Oryzias latipes: one gene and its partner. The protein of the gene in region 1 interacts with the protein of each later gene in a biochemical or structural test. Links are inferred from orthologs where the notes say so. Each region holds a gene or a part of one and is shown in the gene's direction. Other genes may lie near its edges.

What was found.
Region 2: the proteins of usp8 (region 1) and stam2 form a complex in vitro, tested with the Homo sapiens proteins (3 studies listed by BioGRID, with this or other methods). The link is inferred for Oryzias latipes from reciprocal best matches to the Homo sapiens genes USP8 and STAM2.

The regions. Positions count from the first base shown.
Region 1 is NC_019861.2:13,664,506-13,668,332, reverse strand, and holds part of usp8 (ubiquitin carboxyl-terminal hydrolase 8), read left to right. Parts: intron 1-54; coding exon 55-276; intron 277-371; coding exon 372-582; intron 583-3,376; coding exon 3,377-3,613; intron 3,614-3,693; coding exon 3,694-3,827. UniProt on the Homo sapiens protein: Hydrolase that can remove conjugated ubiquitin from proteins and therefore plays an important regulatory role at the level of protein turnover by preventing degradation. Converts both 'Lys-48' an 'Lys-63'-linked ubiquitin chains.
Region 2 is NC_019879.2:4,395,719-4,399,545, reverse strand, and holds part of stam2 (signal transducing adapter molecule 2), read left to right. Parts: coding exon 1-81; intron 82-248; coding exon 249-324; intron 325-830; coding exon 831-926; intron 927-1,169; coding exon 1,170-1,316; intron 1,317-3,827.

The DNA.
Region 1 (3,827 bases):
CGTAGAAATAACTTTTGTCTGCTGTGTTGATCTTGTTTTTTTTTTTTTTCTCAGGCCGGTCACTGCAAAAGTGTACTCTAAAGTAGAGATCGCACGGCCATCAGCAGCCAAAATTCGCAGCTTGAATCCTACTTTCGGAGGGATGGGTGCGTCACTTACTGGCCTCCGTAACCTTGGCAACACCTGCTACATGAACTCCATCTTGCAGTGTCTTTGCAACACTCCTGCCATGGCTGAGTACTTCAATAGCAATTACTATCTGGAGGATATTAACAGGTAAGACTTTAGAAACAGCAAATGTTTCTTCATATCAAAAACTGTTTATAAAAATCAGGGAGCCAGTTAAAGCTTTATGTTTCATCTTTTGGCAGATCCAACATTCTTGGGCACAAAGGGGAGTTTGCAGAGGAGTTTGGTGTGATTATGAAAGCCCTGTGGGCTGGTTTGTACAAGTGCATCAGTCCACGTGACTTCAAGATCACCATTGGCAAGATCAATGACCAGTTTGCTGGCTATGACCAACAAGACTCCCAAGAGTTGCTGCTGTTCCTCATGGATGGCCTTCATGAAGACCTAAACAAGGTAGTGCATCAGGCCTTTTTAAATGACTTGGCCCAAATGAATTTGCACAAAACTTAAAGTCGGTTACTTATCATTAATACAGAAGACGTTAGACGTTCACAAAGTCAACATGTTTTTTCACTTAATAAAATGGCCCTTCTGAGGACTTCCTTCCACAACACCTGTTTGTTGTTGCACATTTTCCTGTTGACAATTAAAACATTTTTTTTATGAATTTTTTTTTTTTCCTTCTTTCTGTCTTTTATTTGTTTACACTGGGTTTCATTTTGATGGCAAATTTAGAGAGTAAGTAACTGGCTGTGTGTTGTTGGTCCCTCTGCAGAAGTGTTCATGTGCCGTGTCTGTATCTGTCTGCTCCGATGCTTTGTGCAATTCTTTGTGCATGTGGACCCAAAACATGCGTATTGACTGGCTTTATATCCATTTAACAATTTAAACTAATGGATTAACTGGTTAAAATGTTTTTTAAGTTTGTAGTTTAAAACTCTTGGTTACTTCATGAATGTCTGTCAATTTCTCCTTTGTGTTTTAAAATGGGATAGTTCCTGACATTCAGTGAGGAGTTATTGAGGAGAAAAGGATCTTGTGTTGACACTCTTCCCATCACTTCTTTTACGATAGAAAAAAATGGGTGCTGGGTGGCAGCTTGTGCAGGGCTCGACATAGCCATTTGTCCGCTGGCCCGGTCCTGTTTTTCGAGCAGTGCGGACCACAAGACTTTACTTTTCACTTGTCCGCTCGGGCCACTAAAATATCGAACGGTTTATATATTCTTCACCTTTTTCAATAAAGTAAATTTTGCGAAAACGTGTAGATTTACCTCGTCTTCATAATTTAGTTTTTCTGCTAGTCCTGTGTTCAGACTTCAAGGGTTTCTATGGGAAACCTTTGATCACTTCTCCTTCTCTCCCGCCTGCGCGCGCGCGGCTTTCACTGCCGAGCACCACGCGGCACGCGCTCACTACTTTTTTTTTTCAAACTTTATTGAATGTAACAATTCAATACCAAACAATGTTAAACAGCAACAACGAAGGCACAAGCCAGTGGGTTATTATTACATTTGATTATAAATCCGACACCGTCACTGAAGAGAGACTGAAGCATGTCAGAGATGTGGAAGACATGGCAGGAATAGATAGGAATATGTTGGATGGAGTAGTGGGTATAATTAGTAGTATGGACAGCAAGATATTTAATGAATGCATTGAAGATGAAACTGTATGCACTAAGCTTTAAGCTGAATGTCAAAGAATCAAAGGCAACTCCAAATACCTGAATCTCAGACTCAAATGCAGTAGAATGTTAAACTACTTAATTTTGTTTTTCTTTACAACACTGTAAGCAGTAAGTATTTCTAGTTAGCTGAATGATCTCAGTTAGACCTGCACAATATGAGGAAAACTCGCGATATGCGATATCAGAGATTAAAATTGCGATAACGATATAATTTGCGGTATATAAACAAACAGCAAAATAACCAAATAACCATTCCCAGTTTAAAAATTATACTCCAAATGACCCACGTTGACATAGGTTACAAACATCTAACATAACAGGGCTCCATCTGATTGGTCAACAATGTGAAGGCGTCCATCCGATTGGTCAAATGCATTAAGGGATTTATTTGATTCGTTAAATGGTTCAAGCTGCCATTAGATTGTTTTAACAGATTTAAGGTTTATGATTTATTGCGATATTTGCCGTTAGAAGCACCATGAAAACTTCTGAACTAGTGTTACCTACTACACTGCAGTGCTCTCTTCAAAACATCTGAAACAGACTAGAGCAGATTTAAGTTTGATATGGTCTATTTTCAGTCATTGAAAAGTGTAGAAATAAGTGATGTCACCAGAATGCACCAAATTGCACCATATTAAAAGTTTCCGGGGGGGCATGCCCCCGGACCCCCCTAAAGTTGCAAGCACCTGCGGAGCGGCGGGTCCCGCTATGCGCGGTGTCGGGCCAGTAACTTTCAGGCAGGGCCAGTAAGTTTCAAAAACTACTGGCCCTGTGGGCCAGTGCAAATTTCTGGGCTATGTCAACCCCTGTTGTGTTAAACATTTTTCCTGACACACTCCATCCATCATGTCTGTGTGTGATGTTCCGGTCTGTCAGCCATGGCAGGTCCAGTCTGAATCCACTTTGTCGATGTCGATGAGTAGGTCTGCACGGTGTGAGGAAAACTCGCGATTGGCGTTATTAGTGATCAATATTGCGATAATGATATAACTTGCGATACATGAACAAATAGCAAAACAACTAAATACATCATTTGCATTTCACTGCAACAGTTTAATTTAAATGACAGTCAACAACATAACTAAAATCAGAATCCAAATGACCCTCATCTACGGCACATAAAATGCGAGCATCTAACATAAAATGGCTCCATCCGATTGGTCAAATGCATAAATGGATTTATTTGATTCGTTAAAAAAACTTCAAGCTGCCATAAGATTGTTTTACACATTTAAGGTAACCAGTTTTGCAATTTTCAGCGACTTGTGCAATATGTGCATTGCACAGTTTGACATCCCGATAACGATAATTCTGCAATTTATTGTGCAGGCCTATTGATTAGGAAGAACTAAGCTGCTGTTCATATCCTCCTGCTTATTGTAATCAGGGTGAAGTGGCTGATCTGCATGCTCAATGAGGCATTCATTAATTTCTGAAATACTCATAGTTTTCTATATAGTAACAGTAAGTTCAGTTACTGCGGCTGATGTGTTTTCCATCGATACAGTGAGATTAGCAGATGTCTAATGTGAGCCAACATGTCGTTTATCGTCAGGCGGACAATAAGAAACGATACAAAGAGGAGGAAAACGACCATCTGGATGACCAGACCGCAGCTGACCTGGCCTGGAGCAAACACAAACTCCTCAACGAGTCCATCATTGTAGCCCTGTTCCAGGGCCAGTTCAAGTCTACAGTGCAGTGTTCCACCTGCCATCGCAAGTCACGGACGTTTGAGACTTTCATGTACCTGTCGCTGCCCCTGGCTTCCACCAGCAAGTGCTCCCTGCAGGTCAGTCTGAAGCGCTCCCAGCCAGGCTGGCAGTTTTTTTTTTAGGTACAAACCTGAGTTTGTGTGCTGTTACTCTGCAGGACTGTCTGAGGTTATTCTCCAAAGAGGAAAAACTGACCGACAACAACAAAGTGTTCTGCAGACACTGCAAAGCCCACAGAGATTCAACCAAGAAACTGGAGATTTGGAAGGTTCCACCCATCCTCCTGGTGCA
Region 2 (3,827 bases), on another chromosome or scaffold:
AGCAACCAATGAAAACAACACAACAGATGACTGGGCGCTTATTCTGGACATCTGTGATAAGATTGGAACGACATCCAATGGGTAAACTGCAAGAATTTGTGTTTATTTTGTAATAAGTATGCGTTTAAAAATTTCTAATTATTCAATAACTAACTGTACACATATATTTAAGTGTATAGCATTAATTGTGTGTGTATATATATATATATATATATATATATATATAATCCTGTTTTTCCCTGGTATAGAGCAAAAGACAGCTTAAAATCCATAATGAAGAGAGTCAACCACAAAGTGCCTCATGTCGCCATGCAAGCCCTCAATGTGAGTTGGTTATGAATTTTAAATAATAAAAGAAAATTACCGACACAATTCAAAAGTGGGATTATTTTATGTGTTATATTTGTGTGTGTGATTTACTTGGGATAGTCAGGGTGACAGTTTCATATTTGTGGAATTATAAACTAATATTTAGGTGATACAATATTTCCAAAATACAACACCAATTGTAAAAATAGGCTAACTTCAACCACAGTTTCAATAATGCATTTTTTTGGTCAAGTTTTGCTGATTTTAATTCAAACTAATCAAGTGTTGACTATTCAAAAGACATTCAGTAAGCTTGAAGGATATTAGTCGTAAGGAGGAAAATGGTTCTAGGTTTAGATCTGTTTTCACACACTTAAACAACAGCAGGACAAGTAGCATTTAAATCTAATTTGAACTGAAAAAATACTTTCTTTGTACGGGAAAACCTGTTTTTAAATGAGACTGTAATGCAGATGTCCTGTGTAGTAGAAAACACTGAAATGTTGTCTTTTCCCTCACAGTTGCTCGGCGCTTGTGTTTCAAACTGTGGCAAAATATTTCATTTGGAAATTTGCTCAAGAGATTTTGCCAGTGAAGTGAGATCTGTTTTAAGCAGAGTGAGTCCTTTTTTCTCCTATTTTTATTAAAATTTATGTGCTATTTATCTTTTATTTATTCCTTTATAATAGAATCAACAGTCATGTTGGCCCTTAAACGTCTTAAAAGATTAAATAAAAAGTAGATGTGTTTAATTTTTTTAAACGTCTTTAAAACTTTGAACTGTTTTGGAACTCTGCTTTGAAAGAAAAATGATGATTTCCTTCTGGGTGTGATATATTTGTGTTTTCTGTCCACTGCAGGCCCATCCTAAAGTCTGCGAAAGGTTGAAGGCCCTGATGGTAGAGTGGGCAGAGGACTTTCAGAAGGATCCGCAGCTCAGCCTGATTAGTGCTACTATAAAGTCCCTCAAAGAAGAGGGTATCACCTTCCCCACCGCGTCATCACAGGTGTGTTGGACTCATTCAAACAATGAGCTTTTGCTCCAAAGGTTTTACATCCTCCTTTATGTGAAAGAGGTCAGGCTATAGTCCCACTTAAACATGAGGGTGGCTTTTATAAAGTTTCTGGTATATTTACAGTACACCACACTGAGACTCAGCTGTGATGCAGATTTTTGTTTTAATGTTCTACTGTCATTTTGTGTTTTAGCTGAAGGGAGAAATCCTCCAAGTAGCCCCTCTCAAGCCAGTCTTTTCCTCTAAATTCAGACTTGGCTTCGTGCAATGGTAGCGTCATATATTTTTAGTACAAGGAGCTAAAATATATTCGCAGTTGTTTCTTTAGATCAGGGGTGGGCAATTTTTTTGACTGGCGGGCCACACGGGGTTCTCAAATTGGATAGAAGGGCCGGACCAGGAGCAGATGCGTGGAGTGACAAAGAAATAACATGGAATCTGGATGAAAACATTTGGATTGGAAATTATATTTTAAAAACTGCGTTCTCATTTTAGAGCCAATTGCACCAACGGCTTGATGTACCTCGTGTAAAACTTAAGAGAAATGCTGCGTTCATGTGGTGTTTGAATAATAGGAAGAATAAAAAACAACAAATCTTCCAACACCACATGGATGCCAAAGCGGGGCCCCAAACAATAACTCTGTTTCTTTAAAACTCTTAACTTCTTTTATCTTTCTTTTATTGTAAAGCCCTAAACTAAAGTTTTCTTAAATCATGATCCTTTTAATAAAATAAATAACACTATTTATGAAATAAAAAAAGACCAAATAACTGTGATTTTCAAAGACAAAAAGTCAGGAAAAAATATACTGATGCATTAAAAAGAAAAACCAATGGATCCTCTGGATGGATCCAGTGGATCCTCTGCCGTCATTTTCCCGCTGAGATGTTGATGGCTGCAGCTCCTCACACGTCTCACAGTTTGCGCTGAAACTGAACAGCTGTGTCCTGCACGTCTGTTTGGCGTCCAGTAATAATGAAAAAAGCACATTTCTATGTCTTCTGCTGCAGCTACGCATATATCTGTGTTACCTTTTCACCAGTACAGAGTTCCGTTGTTTGTTGCAGGAGTTACGTTCTAAAAATAACCCGTGATCAGTGAAATCCACAGAGTATACACTTTTCTCAGACAGAACATTTTCACCCTTTTCTCTTGTTTCAATTCTCAAACCTTCATAGAAATTAAGTCCAGGATCTTAGAATGAAAACAAAGATCTGATCGATCCCAGATTTCTGATCTGAAGAGCTCCACGTTTCTGTACAGGAGACACACGGAGGAGATTGATTGACAGGGTCTCCAGCCAATCAGGACACAGAACAGGATGCGCTGTTTTAAAAAACAGCAGCATAATCGCTCTAAAAGAACGATTAAAACCGGGAAAGATGAACTACGACGTAGAAAGGGAAGACTGTCTCTGTTCTGTTTGACAGATTTTAGAGGGTTTCAGGTTGGAGCACAGACTGCAAAAGGGGGGGAATAAAATGTCACGTTCTATGCGCGTCTTGATCGTGTTGCCAGATAAAAATAAATAAACATGGTTCTCTGATATTGTTCAGTGGGCCGGACCAAACATGAAGGCGGGCCGCAGTTTGCCCACCCCTGCTTTAGATGGTTTTCAACTCCTAATAAATGAGTGTGGACCTCAGAAATATTGATGCATTAATTGCTCCTTCTGTCACTGCCTAAAGGTCTGGACTGAATTTAATGAAAGCTTTAGAAGCTATTAGGCAAACGCAAACTTTACTTTAAATTATATTCAAAATATGTTCGTAAAAATCCTGGGATGTATTTTAGTGTCACAATAAATCGTCCTCTAGCTTTTGTTTGTACCTTTTTATTTCTTTCCTAATTGGTTAGGTAACTGGATATTCGTCACGAGTGTTTGTGGACTTTACTCTTAAGATTGTTTTGAAGCAACCGGCCCACATATGCGTCATCTGTGTTGCTGCCCTGTAGAAAAAAGAGTTAAAGGCCCGCTCCAATCATCCTTTGATCTGTTTTAAAAGCTTCTCCAGTTGTCTTTTAGTTATGATAATGTCCTTGTTTGCCAAAATGACAGTTTCTGCAGAGCCGCAAGAGTTCATTAGAAATTCACCTCTGAGGTTTGCTTGAAGATTGTTGGCGCGAAATAACCCTGCCCCCACTTCCCATCACCCATCTGCTTACTCTCTCCGGCTAACTTACAGCCTCTCAGCCCCAACCTAACATTGCCGGTGCAACAAAAGTGGCGAGCAATATTGTAGCTATCCAGCTGTACAGTTTTAAGCCAGAGAAATGTATAAATAGTCAGAAATGCGATTTTAAGTTTAATTTTCTTAATATATGTCTGCCATCATCATAAAAATGCTACAAGAACATATTCATTAACACCAAAATCATATGTTTTTATCAGACTGGGTCTTCAATAAGTGTCTTTGTGCTGTACAAATCATTTGAAGTATTTTTCATTGTTTTGCCACCAGCTGTGCATCATATGCTTGTTGTAATGTTCTGCACTAT